Cricetulus griseus: one gene and its partners. The protein of the gene in region 6 interacts with the protein of the main gene of each other region in a pairwise test. Links are inferred from orthologs where the notes say so. Each region holds a gene or a part of one and is shown on either strand. Other genes may lie near its edges.

The links.
Region 1: the proteins of Pin1 (region 6) and Gli1 interact in binary tests that used the Homo sapiens proteins (3 or more experiments, as listed by UniProt). The link is inferred for Cricetulus griseus from reciprocal best matches to the Homo sapiens genes PIN1 and GLI1.
Region 2: the proteins of Pin1 (region 6) and Rbbp8 interact in binary tests that used the Homo sapiens proteins (3 or more experiments, as listed by UniProt). The two-hybrid records come from large-scale screens. The link is inferred for Cricetulus griseus from reciprocal best matches to the Homo sapiens genes PIN1 and RBBP8.
Region 3: the proteins of Pin1 (region 6) and Meox2 interact in binary tests that used the Homo sapiens proteins (3 or more experiments, as listed by UniProt). The two-hybrid records come from large-scale screens. The link is inferred for Cricetulus griseus from reciprocal best matches to the Homo sapiens genes PIN1 and MEOX2.
Region 4: the proteins of Pin1 (region 6) and Zbtb9 interact in binary tests that used the Homo sapiens proteins (3 or more experiments, as listed by UniProt). The two-hybrid records come from large-scale screens. The link is inferred for Cricetulus griseus from reciprocal best matches to the Homo sapiens genes PIN1 and ZBTB9.
Region 5: the proteins of Pin1 (region 6) and Cep76 interact in binary tests that used the Homo sapiens proteins (3 or more experiments, as listed by UniProt). The two-hybrid records come from large-scale screens. The link is inferred for Cricetulus griseus from reciprocal best matches to the Homo sapiens genes PIN1 and CEP76.
Region 7: the proteins of Pin1 (region 6) and Jakmip2 interact in binary tests that used the Homo sapiens proteins (3 or more experiments, as listed by UniProt). The two-hybrid records come from large-scale screens. The link is inferred for Cricetulus griseus from reciprocal best matches to the Homo sapiens genes PIN1 and JAKMIP2.

What each region holds. Positions count from the first base shown.
Region 1 is NW_023276806.1:130,389,057-130,393,318, forward strand, and holds the start of Gli1 (zinc finger protein GLI1), read left to right. Parts: upstream 1-1,462; 5' UTR 1,463-1,602; intron 1,603-1,815; 5' UTR 1,816-1,961; intron 1,962-3,220; exon of another isoform or gene 3,221-3,244; intron 3,245-3,495; 5' UTR 3,496-3,589; intron 3,590-4,069; 5' UTR 4,070-4,262. UniProt on the Homo sapiens protein: Acts as a transcriptional activator. Binds to the DNA consensus sequence 5'-GACCACCCA-3'. Regulates the transcription of specific genes during normal development.
Region 2 is NC_048595.1:224,629,486-224,631,684, forward strand, and holds part of Rbbp8 (DNA endonuclease RBBP8), read right to left. Parts: intron 277-2,199; coding exon 135-276; intron 1-134. UniProt on the Homo sapiens protein: Endonuclease that cooperates with the MRE11-RAD50-NBN (MRN) complex in DNA-end resection, the first step of double-strand break (DSB) repair through the homologous recombination (HR) pathway.
Region 3 is NC_048598.1:164,545,608-164,549,107, forward strand, and holds part of Meox2 (homeobox protein MOX-2), read right to left. Parts: intron 2,671-3,500; coding exon 2,498-2,670; intron 1-2,497. UniProt on the Homo sapiens protein: Mesodermal transcription factor that plays a key role in somitogenesis and somitogenesis and limb muscle differentiation. Required during limb development for normal appendicular muscle formation and for the normal regulation of myogenic genes.
Region 4 is NW_023276806.1:232,169,859-232,174,000, reverse strand, and holds the start of Zbtb9 (zinc finger and BTB domain-containing protein 9), read right to left. Parts: upstream 2,801-4,142; 5' UTR 2,525-2,800; coding exon 1,124-2,524; 3' UTR 1-1,123. UniProt on the Homo sapiens protein: May be involved in transcriptional regulation.
Region 5 is NC_048595.1:171,774,427-171,777,926, reverse strand, and holds part of Cep76 (centrosomal protein of 76 kDa), read right to left. Parts: intron 2,894-3,500; coding exon 2,708-2,893; intron 444-2,707; coding exon 346-443; intron 1-345. UniProt on the Homo sapiens protein: Centrosomal protein involved in regulation of centriole duplication. Required to limit centriole duplication to once per cell cycle by preventing centriole reduplication.
Region 6 is NC_048597.1:133,542,011-133,545,510, forward strand, and holds the end of Pin1 (peptidyl-prolyl cis-trans isomerase NIMA-interacting 1), read left to right. Parts: intron 1-2,022; coding exon 2,023-2,133; intron 2,134-2,911; coding exon 2,912-3,021; 3' UTR 3,022-3,447; downstream 3,448-3,500. UniProt on the Homo sapiens protein: Peptidyl-prolyl cis/trans isomerase (PPIase) that binds to and isomerizes specific phosphorylated Ser/Thr-Pro (pSer/Thr-Pro) motifs.
Region 7 is NC_048595.1:194,225,778-194,229,277, forward strand, and holds part of Jakmip2 (janus kinase and microtubule-interacting protein 2), read left to right. Parts: intron 1-1,852; coding exon 1,853-2,350; intron 2,351-3,500.

The DNA of each region.
Region 1 (4,262 bases), on a different chromosome or scaffold from region 6:
AGTAAGAGCCTGACTCCAAAACACGGGAACAATTCCCTTCCAACAGAATTCAGAAGGCCGTAGAGTGGTCTTGAAACCAAGAGGTTCCATAACTGTCCAGCTACAGAAGGTGGGTCACATGACATACACAGTTCTGTCTTTCTCTGTGGTCACCGGCCTACCCAGACGACCAGTCCCTTGTACCGTCTATGGAATGAACCTGTCAGTCATGTGGAATGGCAGGTTGGCTCCTTATCTGTTCCCATCCCCACAATTGTAAAGTCTCAGACCTGTCCCTACCTTCACCGTGCTTGTTGGCTTTTTAATCACACTTGCCTTGCAGGCGCGAGAAGGTGGCTTGGGCACGAGAGATAGGAAGAAACTGCTCTCTCCACCATGCATTAGCTTCTCTCCCAGGTGAGAAACGTAACTGGCTGCCCTCTCCCTGGTGTCCAGTCACCAAGGCCACACAAATCCAAAGAGACAGGCACTCTCTTGAGGGACTATCAATCTCCCCTGGTGTACCCTTCTGTTTCTTTGGGCTCACGCAGCTCCCTCCCTGGGCTTTTAACTGGGCCTGGAAGGGAACCTGTCAAATGTCCTTAAATTCTCCAGTTCAATCAACTCGACTGCGCACATGCGAGTGCCATGTGCGAGTACGACCTGCAGAGGGCGCAGGAAGCCTTAAAGAGAGCGTCGTGAAGGTGGGCTCAGTCTCCAGAATCTGGAGATGGAGAAGTAGGGTTCCCTGCAGAGATCCTTTAGACAGAGGACGCTTCGGTGATCTGTGAACATACACCCAGCACTTACAGCTTCAGCCCATGCTCCTCTCTCAAGTTCCTTAGGCCGCACCCCCCCCCCCAAAAAAAAAACTTTCTACCGCAGCCAACCCAACTCCTTTTGCCCAAACCCCAACTCTCCCAAATCCTCCACGTTCCATCCTAAGAATGAGGCTGGCCTGTAGACCACAGCATGGAGAAGGCTCAATTAAGACCAATCAGAGCCGACGGCAGTACCTGCAAAGTTAACTTTCTGGGGTGAGCTCCCCCCTTCTCGCTCCCCCTCCCCCCGCCCCCCGCCGGCCGCGCAATATTTTCCCCAATGTTTTCCTGGCTCTGGTTCAGGTCCTCTTCGTGGACAGCCGGTCCAGGGATCCGCGCCGGGATTTACCGTGCACCAAGAGCAGCGTGTTCGGGAGGGGGGGTAGTAGGCAGTATAGGGTCCCTCAAGGGAGGGGGAGGATCCTGGGGGTCCTGGGGGTGCCATAAGCCCGGCACCCCCTCTCTAACTTCTAGCCACCCCGCCTCATCTTCCTTCTAGAGCGGCCTGGAGGAAGGATATTGGAGGGGAGTGAGCGGGAAGAGCGGCGGCGCGCCGGTGGCAGGAGCGAGAAAAAGTTTTTGCAAAAGGAGAAAAAAAAAAAAAAAAAAGTTTGCGCTTCTCGCGGGTGGTCCCGGCTCGCGGCCCGGCGGGCTGGGCCGGCGGAGGGCTGGGGGCCAGGTTGGGGGGGGGGTGGCACTGAAGCTGCGCTGCAGTGGCCCTGTCGCCCCCCTCCCCGCAGCACCCCCCCAGCCCAGTTTCCAACCCTGGACCGCGCATCCCGAGCACTGCGCCCCGACTGAGGTGAGAGGGGGGGCAGGAGGGGAGACCACCTGGGAGCGATGGGGGAGGGGGCCGAGGAGATGCTCGGATGCCCAGGACTCTCCCCATCCCACAAGGAGACCTGGGGCACAGCAGAGGCAATAACGGGGTGGAAGAGATTGGGATGAGCTATTAGGAAGTTTGGATGTTTTTCTCGTTTTTGTGCCTTAATCCGTGCCTACTTTTCCTCCCTAGCTCCTTTTTCTTCTGGCAGTCTGTCTGTCCCTGGTCTCTTTGTCTGCGCTCTCCCACCTATTAGACATATCTCCCTTTCTTGAAGTTGGCATGAAGAGGCTGTTGGGACGGCCAGCAGGAGGTCTGCGTGGTAGAGGGAACTCCAGGTGCGTGTCTGGGCGCCGCTGGAAAGCGCTCAGTGGGGTGGGAACAGGAGTGTTTGGAGGTAACACAATCACTGAGGGCCCGGCTGGGATTGGACTCTTGACCCGTGTTGTGACAGATGTCCAGATGAAGCCTTGAGTTTGGGGGCAAGAGGAGTGTTTTTGAACTAGGAAGGAAGCTGGGTGGGTTTCCAAACGTGTAGTGTAGGCCTTAGCGGGGAGGTGGGGAGAATCTGTGGGGAATTCGTGCTTCTCAGTCCCGAGGACTGCGGGCCAGGCCCCAAGGAAGAGCGAGCGCTGGGGAGACCTTGTCTTGACCCCCTGACCTCGGGACCACCGGGGCAGCTGAAGCCAGGCGGCAGGAGACCCCTGCTGGAGCAAAGCGGGACCACCGGCCACTGCCAGCTTGTGTATCCCCGCTGGCCCCCCGCCCAAACGGGAGCTGGGGACCGAGGCCCCTCCTCTGGCTTAGACCACCCTGCCTGCCCTTGCTCCCCGCTCTGAATCCTCTTTCAGGCCCCATGACCCTGAAACAATCAACCCGGGAGGGACAGTTAGCTTTGGGGACAGGACGAAGGAAGGGGACTCCATAGAGACCGAGGGTTCTGGGCGCCTGGAGAAGCGGGACTTGACGGTATAGGTCTCTCCCTCCAGTGCACGGAGAGGGACGGGCAGTTTTCTGGGAGAAAAGTTCTTGAACGCGGGTGATTTTCTTCCCCCTAGGGGGCGGGGTTCGGAAGGACCCCCCACCCCATTATCTCCCTGGGCATCCCCGCCGGACCGACGTCTCCGACTCGCCCTTGACGTCACTAGGGGGTTCCCGGGGGTCTATAGGGGTTAACCCTTAGGAGGCCGGCTGAGATACTCAGAAGTCTAAGGTGTCCTCTCCTAGCGCACTGTGTGGACTCGGGCACTTCTTTCTGTAGGCTCTGGGTTCTTCCTTCCCGCTCCACCACAGGGACCCCACTTTCCAATAGTGCCCCCCACCCCGGGCGCCACCGCCTGCTTTCAGGATGCGTTGAGAGAGGGAGAGAGGAGAGAGAAGGGAAGAATGTTCCACCCGTCACCCCCCCCCCCGCTTTTCTGGGCTCCCCGGGCGGGCGGGGGAAGCTGAGCCGTCTGCAGCCGGAGCCTGCGGCGGCGACTTGGGTGGGCCGAGAAGGCACGGGGGCGGGGAAGGCGGGACCGGGAGAAGGGGGTGGGGCCGGCTCTTGGGAGTTGGGGAGAAGGGGTACGCACAGAACTCTGGAAAATAGACACTGAAGATGATTCGGGTCTCTGGCAGGGTAATTCCGAGTGCTCCCTGTCCCATCCCGCCCCGAAAAACCTCCTCCAGGGAAACTGGAAAAGCTAGCTGGAGACCTCTTTACTAGGATGAAGGGGAGGCGTGCGTGTAGACTGTGGCACGCGTGGGCGAGGAGGGCCGTCGCCCCCCTTTTCACCGTGTCTCCTGGGGTGGTCCGGCAGTGGGACAGGAAGATAATAAGAGTGACATCTATCTCTGAGAGGGCATCTAGTGTCTGGGGGTCGTTTACAGGTCTTCCCTCTTGCCTTGAGTGAGTCACAGCGGAGGAGGCAGGAGACATGCCCCCTCATCCAGCTGCCAGCCAGCTGTGCCCCCCACCCCCAACGTGAGTGCCAGGGTCGAGCTGGGAGGTCTTGGATGCGGGATCCGGGTCTCAGCTGGAAAAGGAGGAGTTAGCATAGGTACAGCCCGGCTGCAGCACTTGGGCTGGGTCGTAGGGTCCGGGTTCCGTTCCCCACTTTGCCCCGCCCTCACCCTAAATCCCAGCATCCCGGGATCACCCACCGCGCAGGCCGGCCCGCTCCCGGTGGTTCTCCACCCCACCCCGCCCCACCCCACCCTCCACTCCCGGAGGACGGAAAAACGTGGAGTGGAGTGCAAGCTGGCTGAGAGAAGGAAAACTGGACCTCGCACCCTCGCCCTGCTGTCTTGATCCTTTCCAATAGAGGACTTGGTTTTCTCATCCTCATTAAGCTCCTCCCCAAAGTTCCTATCCACTCCCCCGTCCACAGACCAAAAGGGTTAGGTAGGTCCAGACTCAAACCGCCGCAGAATGACTTTAGCCTCTATCCTTTTTACTCAACAGACGGGAGACACTCTGCTGCGAAGCCCTTTTCCCTCCCACACAGAGTTCTCTCGGCTAAGAGGACAGATCAGTTGTGTGTTCTCTTCTGGCCCCACCAGCCAATCTGCACTGAAGCGAGGTCTCCCTCTACTGGACACTGGGGAGTTTGCATATGCGTTCTTGGGCTGGGGCTCAGAGCGAGCAAGCAGCCCTG
Region 2 (2,199 bases), on a different chromosome or scaffold from region 6:
TTCCCTTGTATTCTTCAGAAGCAGCATCTAACACACAGCATAAGATGAAGAGTTATAGAAAGAGGACTAATATTTAGACTTACTCTATACTATATTTAAAAATACATATATAAAATGCTGAAATTTATTCCTACCCCTTTCCAGACATGTCTGAGTAGAAGGAAAACCAACTTCCCAGAAATTCTCTGGTGTGCTGGGTGGAATATAGCGAAATCGGTGTCGTGAGCAGGAAGCCAACTTCTTTTCTCTTTCTTCCGCTGGCATATCTGCATAGTACTGACAACAACAGGTAAACACTTCATGTTATGTTTATTGATTATAAACTAGAAGCCAAAAAGCTTTTTAGATTAAACATTCTAAGGAAATAATACTGATTATATTGCAGTAATAATAATAATGATAATAAAACAGTCAGTGCTGATATTGTGAAATGCTTGACTCATAAATGAGAAAAGGAGCTTGTATTACAGCCTTTCCTTTATCAACAGAGGCTTGCACTAACAATCACCAACCTTGGCACACTAACACTGAACTACCCCTGGGCCTGGTAAGAGAGCTACTTGGTAAGCTGAGAAGACGCTGAAAGGTACTGGCACGATTTTATTTCTATTCTAAAAGATCACTAGGAAAAACTACAAAGACCTTCATTGTGTTTAGTGAAAGATAAGAACAAAAAGGGAGCATATGGAGGTGAGCATGTATGAGGACTCTCTTTTTGCTCACGTTCTGAAGGGTGAAGTGTATTAAGGAAGGTAGAGTAACTCAACAGTTCTTGGTAAGATGGTGTCTGGGTATGTACTGGGCATTGACAGTGGAGCTAGTAAGTGAATGTAAAGGGGAATTTTCTGAAGGTAGAATCCATGGGATTTGCTGAAAGATAAGTTATTGATATGTGCAAAAACATAGTGAGTAACTAGAATCTTTCCTTCAAAACAAACTCCAGACATATAAGAGACTGAGTCCTGAAGCATGGGGATCAAATGTAGAAAACACTTGTTTTCACACATGTGACATTTGTGGTCCCTATCATACTTTCACCATACATTTGGAATAGACATGGGATAAACTTACAACCAGTAAGTACATGAGAGATATACATTTATTTTTTACCATTTAAAGCAGATCAACAGTGTCCTTGCTATGATAACTGTATCTAAGTGGTTTTATTTGCACTGATGTGCTGGTTAGTTTTTATCAACTTGACCCAAGGTAAGTTGATAAGAGCTCACCTGGAAAGAAGAACCTCAGCTGTGGAAGTGTCTCCATCAGACTACCTGTAGGAAAGTCTGTGGGGCAATTTCTTGATTAATGAATGATGTGGGAGGGCCCAGCCCATTGTGTCTGGATTTGAAAAGACTGTGGGACTTATAAGGTTATTTATGTTTTAATGTGAGATCTGGGGATGAATAATGGAGCTTAATGGTGATGCGGTTGTACGTCAGGATGAAAAGGTTCAGTTGTACTGGCTGGTTTTATGTGTCAACTTGACATAAGCTAGAGTCATCAGAGAGGAAGAAGTTGAGGAAATGCCTCCCCAAGATCCAGCTGTAAGGCATTTTCTCAATTAGTGATCAATGGGGAAGGGCCTCCCTCACACACTGTGGGTAGTGGCATCAGTGGGATGGTGGTCCTGGGTTCTATAAGAAAGCAGGCTGAGCAAGCCGTGTGGATCAAGTCAGTAAGCAGCATGGTCTCTGCTGGAGTTGAGTTCCTGCCCTGATTTCTCTCCATGATCGACTGTGACACAGAAGTGTCAGCTAAACAACCCCCGTCCCAGCTACTTTCCATCATGCTTTACCACAGCCACAGAAAGCAACTACAACCGCCAGTTTTTTTAAAACAGGATCCCAGTTTACATTCCCGCTATGATTCAGAGCATATTTTCACAAGTGCGTACAGTAATTAATTCATACCTTCACATGTTACTTTCAAGTACCTTGGTTATCAAAAATTTTTTAAGGATTTTATTTATTTATTATGTATACAACATTCTGCTTCCATGTATATCTGCACACCAGAAGAGGGCACCAGACCTCATAATGGATGGTTGTGAGCCACCATGTGGTTGCTGGGAATTGAACTCAGAACCTCTGGAAGAGCAGTCAGTGCTCTTAACCTCTGAGCCATCTCTCCAGCCCCAGTTATCAAATTTTTAAGATCATAGTTAATAAGAAAATCTAAAAGAGGAAGTTAGGTGTT
Region 3 (3,500 bases), on a different chromosome or scaffold from region 6:
TGGACTCTCAGCTTATTTTGACAGGATTTTCTTTCTAGTACCCAGCTCAACAAGTATCTGTGCTACCAATGGATTTATCCAACAGGCCTGTGAATGAGGAGTCCCCACCATGCAGCTGTCTATATTGGGGACTAGAGAAATGGTTAAGAGCACTGACTGCTCTTCCAGAGGTGCTGAGTTCAATTCCCAGCCACATGGTGGCTCACAACCATCTATTATGAGATCTGGTGGCCTCTTCTGGTGTGCAGATATCCATGGAAGCAGAATATTGTATACATAATAAATAAATAAATAAATAAATAAATAAATAAAATCCTTAAAAAAGGAAAATGTTTTTATTTCCACTATGGTGAGTAAATCAGAAAGAGAAAACATATTTGCTTCTATTTGTGACTCAAACATATTTTTTGCTACTCTAAGAAAATAAACTTCTAAGTGGTCAATCCCAGATATTCCTTCATGGATTTTGCATCCTAAAATTGGCATTTATGACAGTGTACCTTAAGAGATTTAGCTTTGATTTAGTATGCATGTTCTAATGAACATATTACCCTTCCAGTTAACTTGCAAATGCCAGAAGATATTCTCAAAATGGGGAAGAAATTACACAGTCCCAAGTTTTCAATTATTTGAGAATACAAGTATCTCTCCAAGTTTTTTTGTTTTGTGTGATTTTTGTCTGTTTGATGGTTGTTTGTTTATTTTATTTTTCTGATTTTCTTATAAGACTATTGCTAGCTTACTTCAGCAATATTTATAATGACTCTTTACTTGACATTGAATTTGGCCAGATGGTTCAGTTTGAATGGGAACATTGGGATATATGGAGAACGATGATGGACCATCACCATATGAGCAGGCATAGCTCTTGTCTTTGCTCTTGGCTAGAGCTCAGTGCTCCATCAATCATTGTATAGATGGCAATTCAATTCCAGTTGCCAATTTTCTTCGCATTTCTAAAACATGGGGCTCTTTCCTGGAGTTCACTGTAATTTTTCCCCTTCTTTACTTCCCTGTTCCCAGATAAACATATTAAAATAGATGAGTGATCTGATGATGTAGACTTTAGTTCCTGCTTTCTGAAGTGCCAAATGCCACACATTCACAGAGGGAACTCCGTGTGTGATTCAGGGGAAGAAAATGTGGTACTGCAGAGCTTAGGAACTAGTCATAATATTTAATAAAATATAAACTGCCAATAAATGAAACCTCAAAAAAGTGTTCCTTTGTATATTTTCTCTAACCAGAAATATCCCACAGAAACTGAAATCTAAAAATTAGCAGAACGAAAAAAATATGACTTAAGAACTTGATAAAATCACTTGCTATCATAAAGTATGATAGTCATTTGTCATTTGTCCACACCATGTTGGTATTTCCCTCATTCCTATGGGACCCCTGGAGGGGGAATGAACAGTGAGAGAGGAAGTGAAGCTCTTGCCCTAATAGTGCCTGCTATAATTGCACTGTCCATAAAGATGTTTGCATTTGCCTTTTAGGAATGTTTTTTCTAACTAGCAAGACTGTTAACCATCTGAAGGCTGGATTGTCCTAAAGTAAATGTGAATTAATATAGGGCGTACTCCCTGAGTGCTAACAGAACAAATTACTTTCCATCCAAACACAACCAAATAAAAGAGTCTATAAAGCAATGGATTTAAATACATTATTTAGTTCTCATTATTGGACACATGAATCATTAACACTTTCAAAGCATTCTTTGAGCAGATAGCAGACTATTGAATTTCTAGAGTAAACACAATTTTGAAGTATTTTGATAATAGAGAACAAATATTTATCAGTGGTCTGTGTGTTCTTGCTGCCAATAATTACCCAGCCTTCTTGCTCCCATGCTACACCCTTGATCATTTCATAACACATAAGAATAAATGGAGAGAATATGAGTCATTTCTAGGTGAAAATATCTCCAGTAAGGGAACTGCCAATTCTTTTATAACCTCCTGTGGTTACCAACAGCACCACACGTTAAGATTCCACGGACCATGAGTGACTATTCAGAGTGCTGGATTTGTAGAACTCATGAAGAAAATAAGCCATTGATACTTCATTTTATTTTGTTTTATTTTGTGCTTTAGTTTTAAAAGTTAATGTTCTATTGCAATATGGAATGACCTATCCTGACCTGTAGAGACAACTAACCTTTTATTACACCAGATGAGGAGATCTTAAATATAAACACAGGAAATATTTCACCATTTACCCACATTATTTAAAACAAACCATGTTTTTAAAACAAACAGAGGAATATTACCATCGCAAAGCATTCCTTATTAAAACTCAGTAAACACACCTTTCACTCATATATCATTTTTTTAAGTTTTAATTTTTGCAGAACAAAAGTTTAATCATCGAATAGTACAGATTTCTAATTGGCATTTGAAAATTATAAATCTAGATAATTAAAAATGGTAAAAGAAGATTGCTAATATAAAAAATAGAAATATAAAATGTCATACAACTAAGATGCCCACTTTACCTGTCTTTCGGTGAGATCTAGATTCACCGCTATCTCATATCTTCTCAGTCTTGTCAAATAGTTATGATGAGCAAATTCTGCCTCCAGTTCTCTGATTTGTTCTTTGGTGAAAGCTGTCCTTTCCTTTCTAGGTTTGCTGTTCACTTCTGACTTATAATTTCCTTCCTGCGAATCTGGGGGGGGGGAAGTGCAAGAAGATGGGTGTTAACACAGTCATGCAAATGTATGCAAACATACCATTCACAATTATTGAATAGTTACTTCTCCAAGTACTTGGCTAGACAGAGGGTTAATGGTGAATTAATACAGTAAGACTGATCACATGTCCACAGGGTAAGATAGATTTTCCTTCTCTCTCTCTGATTTAATTGGGAATGTTCTTTATACATCTGTAAAATACAAACACAATTTTTAACTTCTAAAATGGTATTGTAACAATAAAGTAAACCAAATCCTCATCAGCAAACAACTGTAAAAATAAAATTTTTCTCTTGCTACATGTACATAAGGTCTAAGCATAAATGAATATGGAATCCTCAAAGAAGCAATAATTGCATATATGATTGTTTTACCAAACAAATAGGTTAGTGATTGGATATAAACTTCAAGCCCATGACGGTTTCTCAGGAAAACAAGAATCAATCTACGTCAAGATCCAGCAATTCCACCCTTATCCATATACTCAAAGGATGAATATTCATATAACAAAGACATCTGTTCAACTATGTTCATAGCAGCATTATTTGTAACAGCCAGAACCTGAAAGCAACCTAGATGCTCATCAATCAAAGAATGGATAAGGAAAATGTGGTATACATGCATAATGAGTACTATTCAGTGTAACAACAACAACAACAACAACAAAAACAATGAAATTTTGAAATTTGCAGAAAAATGGAGAAGAAACCATCCTGAGGGAGGTAACCCAGACACAGAAAGACAAACATGATACGTACTCATTCATAAGTGAGTATTAGACATACAGCAATGGATAACCAGCCTA
Region 4 (4,142 bases), on a different chromosome or scaffold from region 6:
GTCCTTCAGATCAGGGCAATTTGTTCAGAGAGCAACAGCGCTACCCTGAGAGCGTTTTAGGTCAGTTGCCATCTCCTGAGTTCACTGGTCACATCTGTCATTGTGATCATAAGCAAGTTGTCAGTGGTAGTCTAGACAAGAAAGAGCAAAGGCTGTTGCGGGAATATCCTCTTAGGGTTCTGCAATTACATATGAAATGCTTGATATGTTAAAGTGCTCAAGTACTTTTTTCTTTAAAAAGACCAGGTCTCACTGTGTAGCCCTGACTGGCCTGAAACTTGTTATGCTGAAACTATGCTACCCAGGTTGGTCTGGAGCTCACAGAGATCCGCCTAACTCTGCTCCCCAGTGTTGGGATTAAATGTGTGAGTAACCACACTTGTTGCAGGCTCAAGTACATTTTTTTTTTCCCCCCAAGACAGGGTTTCTCTGTGGCTTTGGAGACTGTCCTGGAATTTGCTCTTGTAGACCAGGCTGGTCTTGAACTCACAGAGATCTGCCTGCCTCTGCCTCCCAAGTGCTGGGATTAAAGGCGTGCGCCACCACCGTCACCTGGCTTAAGTACATTTTTAAAAGAATATTTTGGAAGGTGTCTACTGGTAAGAAGGCAAAGTACAATCTAAAAGCTTCTAGAAAGAAACAGCGCACTGCCGAGTGTGTGTGTGTGTGTGTGGGTGGGTGGGTGGGTGGGGGCACTCATGGAGTTCAGTCTGGCAATTGGTTGAGCTCTGAATCAAACACGTTTCTAGTTGGAGACCAGCTCCCTTACCTCCTGGTGAAGGTGAAGTAAAAGTTACTAGGTCATTTTGTTCCAACTCTTCTCTCACTAACTTCATCTGAAGTCAATGGTTTCCTCACTGGCTATCAAAACAAAGAGGGCCACATAGCTTAAGTGATCAAAAGTATGACTTTCCTAGAGTCTGCTTAACAAACAGCTGAACTGAGAACCCTGAACTTCCGAGCACACGAGGGTGAGGCCCATAGCCAACAGTAAGGGGCTCATAACGTATCTCATCTCTTGGGATGGCTACACGATCCAGGACTGAGGTGGTGAAGGGTAAGAATCCAGCAGCAGCAGCAGCGGCTATGTCTTATCCTAGAAGTCAGTATACAGCATTAGCAGTCATTTGTAAGTCCAGTGGGCAGTGGCCCAGCCCTGGCCCTTGCACAGGTCGCGGTGGCGCAGGTAAAAGGCATGGACGCGAAACCGACGGCCACAGTTGGGACAGGCATGCAGAGCTCTAGCGTGGGTCTTCATGTGCTCTGTCAGATGGTGCTTCAACTTGAAGCGTTTATTACAGACGCCACATCCAAAAGGGCGAAGGCTGAAGGTCAACATGATGTGGCGGTCCCGCTTCGGCTTTACTGCAAACCGTTTTCCACACAAGCACCCAAAGCATTTCCCATCTGCGGGGGGCGTCCCTCCCAGCTTCACAGGCCCATGCACAGCTTGCCCCGAGCCTCCAGGCCCCCCGCCCCCTGACAGGATTTCGTTCCCGTGAAGATCCACTGGCTTCCAGGGTGGATCCCCTGCTCCAGAGGTTTCCCCTCCTCCTGAGGACAGCAAGTATCTTAGTTCCCCATTTCCCTCAGAGTCCCCTTCAGAAACGGCTTTGGTCTTCTCCTTTGTTCCTCCAGACCGAGTCCTACTTCCTGATGTCTCCTCCTTAGACTCAAGGGCTTCCTGATTGACATACAAGACCTGGGAAGCTCGGCCAGGAGGGGCAGGAGGCTCAAGGGCTGAATTCTCCTCCTCCGGAGGCTTGCTGGGAAGAGCAGATGTGGGCAGTGGGTGGGGTGCACAGGCGTGGGGAAACCCTCCGGATACTCTCTGAGGCTGAGGAGTCTGGAAGAGCGGGGCTGCTGACCCCTGCTCGTCCTCCTCCTCCTTCACCTGAATCTCTAACACTCCTTCTTCCACTTTGCTCCCCTCCCCTCCCACGGGGCTCTCAGTAGAAGCCGAGCTCTCTGTGGGAGCAGAGGACCGCGCTGTGCTCTGGAAAGGGGAGGACCGGATGCACCAGCCTCCCGGAGAGGTTGTGGAAAGAACTGTGTGGTAGGAGGCTCCTCCGCCAGCCGAGACTCCACCACCACCCGATGTCTCTAGTTCTCGAAGAATCTCCGAGCACTGGTCCACCACCTGCCACATCTGCAGGCCACTGGCGACAAGGAGATGGGCAGGGAGAGCATCGAGCGGCAGGCGGAGGCGCCCCGAGTAAATGAGCTGAAGGAGTCCCTCGAAGGCGTCTGCCTCGATGACACTCGGCAAAGTGAGTCGGGGCGCATCCCCCAAAAGCAGCTTGTCGTGGAAGTAAGGCGAGGCAGCGGCCAACACCGCCTTGTGAGCCCTGAGCTCCCTGCCCTGAACCAGGAGGGACACATCACAGAACTTGCCCTCCAGCCTGTGGCGGTTCAGGGACTCCAGCAGCGAGGAGCTGTGATGAGGGAACTCGATGTGGATGGTCCGAGAGGCTGGGTTGCCCCGGGGAGAGGGCGGCGTGGGAGGCAGCGTCGCCGCATCCATGGCCACCTCGGGGAGAGAAGGCGCAGGGCGTCGGGGGCCTGCGGGGCTCCGCGGACCCAAGGCTGGGAGGAGGAGGAGAGAGCGGGTCACCCAGGTTCGGGCCAGGCGCCCGTGTCCAGCGGCCGCCGCGCCTCCGTCCCGCGCCCCAGCGAGAGAAGCGGCGCCGGGTGTTCACCTCCAGGCCCCGCGGCAGCCGGGCGCGACTGCGGGCCGGCCGGTCGCCGCCCGCCTCGCCGCGCTCACACAGGCCGTCCGCCGCGCCCTCCCGCCGGCACGCCCCCACCGCACGCCCGCCTCACCTCGCCGCTCGCCGCTCGCCCGGCCTCCGCTGCGTCTGCTCGGCCGGAAGCCGCCGCCGCTCCGCCGGACCGCTGCAGCCAGGCGCGCGGGCGGGGGGGGGCGGGGCGGAGCCGGGCTGCAGCCAATGGAAGGACGGCAGCCTACAAGCCCCCTTCTTATTGGCTGTGCCGCCGGGGGCAGGGCTGGGACCGTCGGGGAGCGGCGGCGGCGGCGGCGGGAAGGGCGAGGTGGGTGCGCCGTCCGCGGTGTGCACGCGGGGCGGCCGGACCGGAAGTCTGCGGCGCGCGCTCGCCCAGGACCGCGGGTCTCGGCCGCGTCCCGCAGAGGCGTCCCCTCCGGAGAGCTTCGCGCAGACGGCGGCTTGGGCGAGAGCCGAGTGGGCGCTCGGCCGCTGTGCGCTGTCCGCACTCACGCCTGGGTGAGCCCGCCCGCCGCGGGCTGACAGCCTTCTCCCGAGCAGCGCCGGCCACTCCCTCAGCGCTTCCAGGACTCCGGTGCCGGGCGAGGAGGCGCCCACTTTAGTCCCAGCACTCGGGAGGCAGAGGCAGGCGGGTCTCTGTGAGTTCCAGGCCAGCCTGGTCTACAGAGCGAGTGCCAGGAGAGGCTCCAAAGCTACACAGAGAATCCCTGTCTCGACAACTAAATAAATGAAAGTCAGTCCCCGGCTGGAGAGATGGCTCAGAGGTTGAGCACTGACTGCTCTTCCAGAGGACCTGAGTTCAATTCCCAGCAACCACATGGTGGCTCACACCATCCGTTATGAGATCTGCTGCCCTCTTCTGGTGTGCAGTGAGACATACATGGAAGCAGAATGTTGTCTACATAATAAATCTTTAAAAAAAAAGTCAGTCCAGCGATAAAAGAACAATCTCCGTTTATTAAACATGAGTTTTGTTTCACCACACACTCCAGAAAAAAAGGAAAGGGGCCGGGAGTGGGCGAGGGGCGACGGGGCTGGGAGGAGGGCGGTGAGAACGAGTAAACAAAGGAAACAAAACGAGTAAGAAGAGCGGCTCCCTACTCTTAAGGTGGCTGGAGGCGGGAGAGAGGGGCGGGCCGGGAGCCGGGAAGCTCTGTACAGAGGGGTCGCCTCCCAGCCCCCACCCCGGTTATGTACAGTACAAACCCCAGATAATTACAACAGCCAAAGAGGAGGGCGGAGGGACCGGGTAGGGCCTCAAGTGGGGTAAGCAGAGGGGAGGGAGGGCACGGGATAAAATTTCACATATTTACAACATTTATAGAAGTATAAATTTGGCCCCGGCTGGGTGGGTGTAGAGGGTTAGGCTGAAGGAGAGCTGTCCATACAAAAGGTCGT
Region 5 (3,500 bases), on a different chromosome or scaffold from region 6:
ATCACCCACCCCCAATGCACACAAAACACATGCAAATGCAATAAAGCCTTTTAAAATATCACCCCATGTTGCTACTCCAATGCCCTTCCACTTTGTGACACCCCCCCACATACACACATTCCAGTCCTGGAGTTTGCTAAAAGCCAGGGCCTTGTACATGCTTAGCAAGCACTACCACTAACTGTATCACCAGTCCCAGCTTAATAGTTCTTTCCCCATCCCTTTGGTTAATTCTTTTAGTACAAATCTAAACAGCAATGTTATTGTTTTTTCTAAAAAGACAATACTTTCTAGGGTAAATATTTCCTACAACTAAAGCAATGTACAAAAGAAAAACTGGCTTACCTGTGTGTTCACTACTTCTTGAGACAGTGTTTGGTTGAGTGGTGGGTACATCTCAAGTTTTATATTTAAAATTCCCACAGAAACTTTTGATTCTGTTCCTATAAATACAAATATTTAAAACTCTACTTAAACCTTATTTAAAACAAAGAACTTTCAGGACTATGTGTATTTAGTCAACCAAAGTCTAACCAACATAATTTAGGAGTGATGTACTTTATGACTTAAGTAGAGTTATAATACTCAACATTACACTTAATATTCATATTAAAAATGAATCAAACTTTTTAAAATGAACCAAATCAAATTGATTTTTTTCTTTGTTACTAAAGCTTTCTAAAAACATTTTAAGGAACTTTTCTGACCTTGTGGATTTAGAATTCTTAAATTTATATCTTTAATATAATATATAATTTAATGTATATAATTCCAACTAGATGCTACATTAAGTACAAAACCAAAGCAATTGTTAAGAGCCCATTCTGTCTCCATGAAAATCAGAAAGTATCCCAACTTTTTACCATATGCAGTAATTCCATCTACCCTTTCTTATCAAGTTTTCAACTATATATGATCTATATATACAACATACAAACATATATGTATATAAAACTATTCAATATTTCTTAACCAAATCGGTATATACTTATTTCCAGGTCATTGTTATGATTATCATGTTAGACCTATTTGCATCTATCTATCCATCCATCCGTCTGTCTGTCTATCTGTCTATGCACCTAAAGCATGCAGTGTCCTTGGAGGCCAGATCCCCAGGGACTGCAGTTAACGAACAGTCAGCAGTCAGCCACTATATGGGTGCTCTAGAAAAGCAGCCAGTGTTCTCAACCATTCAGCCATCTCTCCAGGCCCAGGTCTATTTTTGAAGACAAAGAACCAGAAATCACTTTAAAAAACAAATCTCATGTGTAAAGAGAATACTAGTTCTTTTTATTTAAGTACAGACATATTTTGAGTCTGACTTAAATTCTGAATGCTTTGCTGTCAACTGACCAAATTTAGCTTTTTTTCTTTTTCTTTGTATGAGTGCATGCACATTATGTAAATGGCTTTGCCCATTCACAAGAGTGTGGAGACCAGAGGCTGATGTGGGGCCACTTCCACTATTGCTCTCAGCCTTAGCTTTTAAGACAAAAGTCTCTCACTGACCTGGAGCTCACCAATTAGCTAGATTGGCTGGGCAGTGAGATCCCAGGATCTGCATGTCTCTACCGCCATCAAGACCTGGGATTACAGATGCATGCCACCATGCCCAGCTTTTTTTGTGGGTGCTGGAGAGACAAACTCAGTTCCTTCTACTTGTGTATCATCTTACCCACTGAGCCATCATGCTATCCCCAAGTTTAACTTGTATGAATAAGTTGTAATACCAATACAATTACATTATAAGTTATAGATAAAACATTAGTGGGTTTTTGTTTTCCTCTTTTTATGAGCTAATACATATTACATAGTAGGCAGTATGCAAAATCCAAGGAAATAATGGTAAGATAATGTACAACCTCTGTCCTTTACTATTCATTGCTACTGACACTGACCAAGTTAGCAACTCTTTCAAATTTTACCTATCCATAATAACGAACTAGAGGAACATCTACTCATTCGTCAATAACCACTGGTATGAAGCTGGCACGGTGGTACATGCCAATAATCCTAGCATGAGGCAGGCCAACTGTTCTGTAGAGGGAACTCAAGGACATCCCAAAATACACTGTGAGATTCTGGCCATAACCAACAAAACAAACAAAAAACCCATAACCCACCCCCTCCAAGAACCAGTGTGGTGACGACGGTGATGTGCTGTACTCTAGGACATACCAGAAAGAAGCTTATGCATACACCTATTCATATGTTTAAAAGAATCCTGCTTTTCTTTATAACCTTATATTTAACAACAACAACAACAAAATGTTGAACCTCCAGAATTTCCATTCATTTTGCAGACAAAAAACATTCTTTGGAGCTGGAGAGATGGTTCAGAGTAAAAGCACACTTCCAGAGGTCCTGAGTTCAATTCCCAGCAACCCAATGGTGGCTCACAGCTATCTATAATGAGATCTGATGCCCTCTTCTGGCATGTAGGCATACATGCAGGCAGAACACTGTATACATAATAAATAAATAAATCTTAAAAAAAAAAAAAATTCCTCAGGATAAGAAAGACTGACTTTGAAGAACTATGGTGGCATTATTCTTCCAGCTATTCCCTAAGCCAACTTACCACTGAAATTCTGATGAAAGCCTGTTTTACAAGTCTCCCTCCTGTAAAGCCCTTTTGACTGATATAAAATAAATTTGCCAACAAACAGTATTTATAAAAAGGTGAAAGTGACATTAATCATCATACCTACACCCATAAGTTCCACAGTCAGATTGGTCACTCCATTTTCTGAGCCCAAAACTGATCTCCATTCCAGAAAATAGGATGCCACTAAAGTAGTCTCACCAAATATGTCTATTTTGATCAGCACCATGTGAATTGGATCACTTATGGATAACATTGTTGTTGAATCAGCCATTCTAGTCCCATCACCTAACAACACAAACCGAAGAAAAAACACACTATATTACGTATTACTTAGTAACACAGAATCATTTTACAAGCTGAGGATATAGCTAAGTGGTAGTGACTGCCTAGCATGCCCGAGGCCTTGGATTCCATACCCAGCACCACACGCACATATGTGTACATATAAGAGAACTGGGGTGTATACACACACACACACACACACACACACACACACACACACACACACACACACTTTTATTGAAAAGTATTCTAAATAAGCTTACATATGATGGAAATAATTTAGTAAGGTCTCTCAAAGTATGCCAGAATCTGGGGGAAGAATATCACCCCATTCTATGACTGACAACTGCCAGGACTAGCAGAATAAGATGAATTATTTAGAAGTTACTTAGTTATGTTACTTACAGTAGTCAGTACTTTCTGATCCATAAAAAGTCTAATCTTCAAAAGAACTTATATTATGTACTATTACAAAAGAAAAGGCCATCAGCTAAATGAGTTAGCACACACCTTAAATCCAAGCACTCTGGAAGTAGAGGAGGGAGGGTCTGTGAGTGCAAGGCTAGTCAGAGCTACATAGTGAGACCCACCTCAAAACTCCACATACACA
Region 6 (3,500 bases):
CAGCCTGATGGCCTGTGGCTGGGTTTCTGGGCCCCTCCTGCTGGGTCTTGGGTCTTCTAGGATAGCATATCCAATGATGTTACTACCTCTTCCATAACCAGTCTCTTCCCTTATGGCCACCTGTGAACTGGGAGATGGGCAAGGGGATTGTCTAAACACTTTTAGGATGAGGAAACATCCTTTTGGTTCATTCTGTCCCTTAGTCGCTGTAACACAGTGCCACAAGCTCGGTAGCTTAGGTGACAGAAGTTTCTTTGAGTCCCAGTTCTGGAAAAGTCTATGCCCCATGCTTTTCCTCTAGATTCCCTCTCACCAGCCACCACAGACCTGTGCCTTTCTCACTTTCCCCATCAGGTTCCTGCTGAGATTGCTTTTCTTGTCTTCTGTTGTGTCCTTTGGTGCCCTGCCCCTTGGCTATCTTTGCTCGCCCCATCTGCCTCCTTTAATAATAGAACTTATGCTGCCCAGGCTGACCTTAAACTCCCTGTGTAGCCAAAGGTGACCTTGAACTTCTAACCTGTCCACCTAGCTCCTAAGTGCTGGGATTCTAGGTTTGCACTACCATCCCTAGTTTGGAAATTGATCCTAGGGCCTGGTGCAGAAAGGCGAGCACTCTGCCAGCTGAGCTAAAACTTTTTTATGAACAGGTACTTATCATTTCAGGGCCCATCCTTGTAGACTCCTTATCTCCAAGGACAGTCTTACCAGGAACCAGGGCTTCTTTACAGCGAACATTGGGACTTTATCATGCAGCCTTTAGCAGAGCAATGACTTGTGCATTAGCCTTGACTATGGCAGTCACTCATTCATGCCACAAATAACCCTCTGAAGTGAGAGCTCCCATTAACCAATTCAATTCTTTTTTCTTTTACTCTCATTTATTTGTATGCACGCAGGCATGCTACTGCAGGCATGCTCATCTCAGGCACTGCCTGGACTCAGGTGCCTGGCAACTCCCAATCTAGCAGGTGTCTGTGTGAGCATAGCAGTTTCCCATGCATCTGCATGTCTGTGCACCCTGCTCCTGAGACATTAGTCATACAGACCTGGTGCTGTGTTTCACTCCCCTGAGCCTAGGTCCTTTACATTCTGTTGTTTGTTTGTGTCATTTTGTTTGGGTAGGGTTTGGTGATTGGCATGTGTGTTTGAAGGTTAGAGGACAACTTACAGGAGTTGGTTCTCTCCTTCTACTGTTGTGGGTTCTGGGGATAGAACTCAGTCAGATTTTGTGACACATGACTTTGTTATTTTGAGACTTTGCTTCATTCATCATTCACTTTCCTCCCAGCAGCCCTGACCTCCTAACCCTGCAGGGAGTCACAGCCCAGTAGAGATGCTTTAATACCTCCTGAGCTCTGCCAATACCCTGTGGTACCTGTTGTGTGGCTTGCCTGTGGGACAACTGTGCAGGCGCTCACACACATCCCTTACAGCCTCACCTCAGGTTCTCATCAAAATGTCCTAGTGAGAGCTCTTCTGTGCCTCCATGTTGCACAGGTGGGGACTCCTGAGGCCCACAGCTGAGGATGTCACCAGCTCCTATGCAGAGCTTGGCTGTATGCTAGCCACCTGTGGTCTCCAGAGCCTTGAGACTGCCCCAGGACTAGGGGTGGGCAGTCATCTGCTGTGAGGTTCCAACTGTTTGTGTCCAGGGCTGAAAAGAGGTCACTGTGTGTCTGGAGGGGTCCTTATATTCTTGGGCATCTGTGGGTGACTAGCTTGGTTACTAAGGTCATACATAGTAGGGCCATAGGTGCATGGGGATGGCAGACAGGTTTGCACCCTGGGGTCATGCATGTGGGAGGACTGTCTTCATGTGCGCACATGATAAGGACACAGGTGTGATTGCTTAGGCATGAGGGGGTGGGAAGTCTTACAACAGAAAGGCAGCAGCATGTCTTTATAGGGAGCATGGTGCACAGGCCAGGCCTGGCCCAGCTCCTGGGAGTGCCTTGTTCTCCCTGCATCCTGGCTGGCCCCTGTGTCTCTCTGACTTAGGGCTCTCCCCTTGTGTCCCTGCAGGCTACATCCAGAAGATTAAGTCAGGAGAAGAAGACTTTGAATCTCTGGCCTCACAGTTCAGCGATTGCAGCTCTGCCAAAGCCAGGGGAGACCTGGGTGCCTTCAGCAGAGGTAGGCAAGAGTGGGTACCGCTACACTCAGCCCCTTCCCTATAGTGTTGGGGGTGGTTGGGCCCACGAAGGGGGAGAAACCCTACTCTGTGCCTTCCTAATCCACCAGGTGGCAGCACAGCCCTCAGGCTTCCTGGCCTGTGTTTTTTGTGCTGCTAAAGGGATGTAAAACCTCCCTGGTATCTTCCCTTCAGGATCATTGTCCCCCTCACCGGCCCATCAAGGTGACTCTGTTCTGTCATTGGCATCTAGCTATAGGACAAGACCCCTGAGAATCATGTTCTTCCCTTTGGCAGGTGGGGAAAATGGGCAGGCAAGGCAAGGTCAGGTCCAGTTGGTGACCCAGACAGAGCTCAGAATGTCTTCCAAGGGCAGAGGAAATCAGGATCCCTTCCTCCTCCCTTCTCTCCTTCATCTCCTTGTTGTGGGCTGGGAGTTCTAAGTGTTGGCACCTGCCTGGGAGAGGGAGCCTAGCGAGGCCCTCTGCTGGCAGCCCAAGCTACCTGCAGGACAGATGGTGTTCAGCTGGGAACCAAGAGAGTTCATCATGCAGTGTGTCTAAATGCACAGCACAGCACTGCCTGCCATTCCTCATGCTGTCCTTGGGCTTCCCAGAGCCTCCTAATGGGCCTGTGGCCCTCAGCTGGGCTACAGCTCAGCAGTGCAGGGTGACAGGGCCATAAACCCTGTGATGAATATGCTTGAGACTAGGTGCAGGCAGGAGCCCCATCTCTGTGCAACTCGCGCCTGACCCCCACCACCTCTGCTGTTTCACACAGGTCAGATGCAGAAACCGTTTGAGGATGCATCGTTTGCTCTACGGACAGGGGAGATGAGTGGGCCAGTGTTCACAGATTCGGGCATCCATATCATCCTGCGCACAGAATGAGGACAGGCAACTGGCCGGCCTACTCAGGCTGCCAAGCAGTCCATGGACGCCCCTTCCTGCTACTGTCACACAGTATTTATTATTCCTAAAATGGCTGGGAGGGGGCTCTGAGATAAGGACTCTGAGCTTCCTTTTCCCTGTTTGCCCCCAGTTGGGGCTGCCCTAGCCAGGCTCCTTCTGAAGGAATTAACTTCAGAAGGGCAGTGGGGGTGTGGAGGCCCTCAGGCTTAGTGGGTCAGAGGTGACCTGACCCCTCCCCCTAGGTCCCAGAGGCAGGCAGGAGGGCCTTGTTTCTTGTTAGTTTTATGCTCCATTCCTCTGTTCAGTTGCAAAAAGCAGACACTCCACACCTGGCGATGCAGCAACTCAGCCTCAGGGTGTGGTGCAGCGCCCCATGCGCCTTCCATTAAATCTGGAACCACTGGCTGGTGGTACTGTATCTCATTACCTTCCTGATGGGGTGTGGGGTTCCTGTCTCA
Region 7 (3,500 bases), on a different chromosome or scaffold from region 6:
TACTTTCCTTAATAGAGCCTGTTTAACTTAATTCATACAAAATAGTATCATTTCAACACATAGCTATTAAAAAAGGATCAACAAAAACTCTGTCTTGTGATAAATCTTCAAAATCCAGAGTGTATTTTGCACCATTGCAAGTGTTCAGTGTAGCCAGTGGCCAGCATTCTTGACAGTAAGCTGAGGAGAGGTCAGAAGACAGTCATCTGAAGACACCTCACTGCTGCTTTACCAAGTCCTCCTGGGGTCTCCACCCTTACAGGATAACCATTGTGAGATTAATTGCTGTGCTTTTAAAAATCATATGGCCTCAAAACATTACTTCACTTAGAAAATACTGCACTAGCTGAAGATAGGTAAGTAAGTGACTGAGGTAAGTGAAATCCTAAACACTCTATATTGTAATTACAATGATCCTAAAAGGGACTTTGACTCATCAGACATTTGTAGGTTGAAACTCTCTCAAATTTTGAGAGAGGGGAAACCACAATCAGAATCTATTGTACGGGGAGAGGCAGAGCTCTCTGTCACTCAACTAGGTAATGCTGCTGGGGCTCCCATTTTTTTTCACTTTCTCAAACTCTCTCTCTCTCCCTCCCCTCTCTCTCTCTCTCTCTCTCTCTCTCTCTCTCTCTCTCTCTCTCTCTCTCTCTCTGTGTGTGTGTGTGTGTGTGTGTGTGTGTGTGTGTGTGTGTGTCCACTAAAGAAAAGAAACAGGGAGAAGATGTAGACAGGTGATGGAATGAACTGAGTGGATGAGAGAATAGCACAGGACCCCAGAGGGAATTTTTATGCTACTGAAGTGGCCAAACCACATCATAGGGACCTGTTCAATCAGAGATTTAAGTAGCACAAATTGGCAGGAAGAACTAACGTTGTCAGTGGAAATGTAACAAAACTCAGGAGATTATTTTCAGCAGAATTCTTGAAAGGTGGAAAGATTAGAAGAAATGCGTACATCACTTGGAGTATTTGGCTTGGGTGGCATCAAGGTCAAGGGATAAGAGTGAGACTAGAGAATAATACAAAGAGACCTGCGGCAGCACGCAGAAATAGCATTCCTGAAGCCCTGTAATTACAACAGAACCCAACAGACTATAGGCTCTGGGGCTGTAGCTAATTGGCTACCTAATGTGCACATATGTGGATATACACAAGTCGGGGAATGGAACATGGTTACTATACAAAGAAAGATAAAGTCATTGCTATTATAATTATCTTTATTTTTTACCTTCTCCATTATCAGCAATCTGTTCTCCCCTTCTGTAAGAGAAAGAGAGGTATTATATAGTAACATTTTAGGCACCTATTTGTTTGCCTTATTGCAGTATCAAACTTTGAGCTATCCAGAGATGCTCACATCTATGGGTTGGGTGGAGCCAGAATTATACAGTCAGTAGTTGTAGACTCTTTTCCACCAATGGGAGAACTACCCCAGCAAAGCCTCCCAGTTTGACTGGGTAAACCAGTCACCTGGGGAGTTGTTAAAAGGCATATTCATTCTGATTTATGGATTTGGTGGGGAACCTGGGATTCTGCAATTCTAACAGACTTCTGAGTGTCTCTGGAACTGCTAATCTATGGACCACGTGCTGATTAAGAAGGCCCAGGACATCAAGTATTTGTCTGAACACACTAAGATAAATATCTTAGTTGTTTCCTTTTTTATACACCCTAGTCTCTGCTTTAAGGTCTGTGCTTCCTTTCCCTCTGAGCACACAGTAGCTTGGACTTTTTTTTAATAAATAAGATATTAAGAGATCACAGCGGCCTAAGCTGCAAGATCCTGCCTGGGAGCACGAGTTCTCTTTGAGGCTCACGCTTTTTCTTCCTTTCACCTCTCTGCCTCTAGGTATCAAAGCTTGAAAGAGAGAAGACGCAAGAAGCAAAGAGGATTCGTGAGTTGGAGCAGCGCAAGCACACGGTCCTGGTGACAGAGCTCAAAGCCAAGCTCCATGAGGAGAAGATGAAGGAGCTGCAGGCGGTGAGGGAGAATCTCATCAAGCAGCATGAGCAGGAAATGTCAAGGACAGTGAAGGTACGGGATGGGGAGATCCAGAGACTCAAGTCTGCCCTGTGCGCCCTCCGGGATGGCAGCAGTGACAAAGTAAGGACAGCTCTCACCATTGAGGCCAGGGAGGAGGCCCGGAAACAGTTCGATGCAGAGCGTCTGAAGCTCTTGCAGGAAATTACAGACCTGAAAACTGCCAAGAAGCAGGTGGATGAGGCTCTGAGCAATATGATCCAAGCGGACAAAATCAAGGCTGGTGACCTTAGGAGTGAGCATCAATCCCACCAGGAAGCCATCTCGAAGATCAAGTGGGAGTCAGAACGGGACATTCGGAGGCTGGTCAGTAATAATAATGAGAGCCCGGCAGAAACCTTTCTCTGCCAGAGCTCTGTGTGATTTGCTTTGCTGAGTGTTCAACTGTCAGTTACTATAAACATACACCCTGGCTTTGCCGCTACACTATTCAAAACACAAGGTAGACTGATAGGTACTTTGGTAGAAATTGGAATTATAAAATGTAAGAGATTTTACAGTCCTCATTTTCACAGGTATTCACTCAGCGACATGTGTTCTTGGGTAGTCCATGAAAAGATTGTAAATTACAAACAATTCCAACCTTAGCTTGTTTTTGTGGGTTTCCCAGTTGTAAAGTGCCCCTGGGTATTTTACAGGACAAAGGGATGTTTCTACAATTTGTCTGAAAATGGTCACTATTGAAAACATGCTGAGTGATTCATCAGTGCAAACGTGGAGCTATAAAATCCCTGGTCATTTTGAAACCGAGTTCCTTTCCCACAAATAATCAAGGAATATTTGTTATGAGCCATTCTATTTTTTAATTGGGTGTCATTCACAAAGAGTTTCCTTTCTGTTTGCAATATACTTTACTTCAACCCACACAGAATTGGTTTGTTTGTTTTGTTTTGTTTTGCTTGCAAAGCCAAAAACCATATACCGATGCCTCGTAATGCTAAAAATAAATTAGTCAATGCATTAATAAATTAGTCTAATGCATTAATCTAGTGCTGTCCTATAATGTCCTAGGTTAACCTCATCCTGTGATCTTAGAAGGGAAATTGATATTCATCTATGTACAAAAGTTGAGGATTAGCTTAAACCATTTAGAATGGATTTAATACTATGTTTCTCTAAGCCAGTGATTCTCAACCATCCCAATGCTTAGACCTTTTAAATAGAGTTCCTCATGTTGTGATGACCCTCAACCATAAAATTATTTCATTGATATTACATAACTGTAATTTTGCTGGTGTGATGACTTGTAATGTAAATATCTAATATGCAGGATATCTGATATATATCTGATATTTGACCCCATGAAAGGGCCATTCAACACCCTCCTCCCAAAGGGGTCACAACCCATTGGTTGGGAACCACTGTTCTTAGTAGAATACTGTTCAGGGAAAACCATCCTTTCCCTCTTGTGTCTGCCAATCCTCAGGAACCAGTTCCTAGGAATTCCACTGTTGTG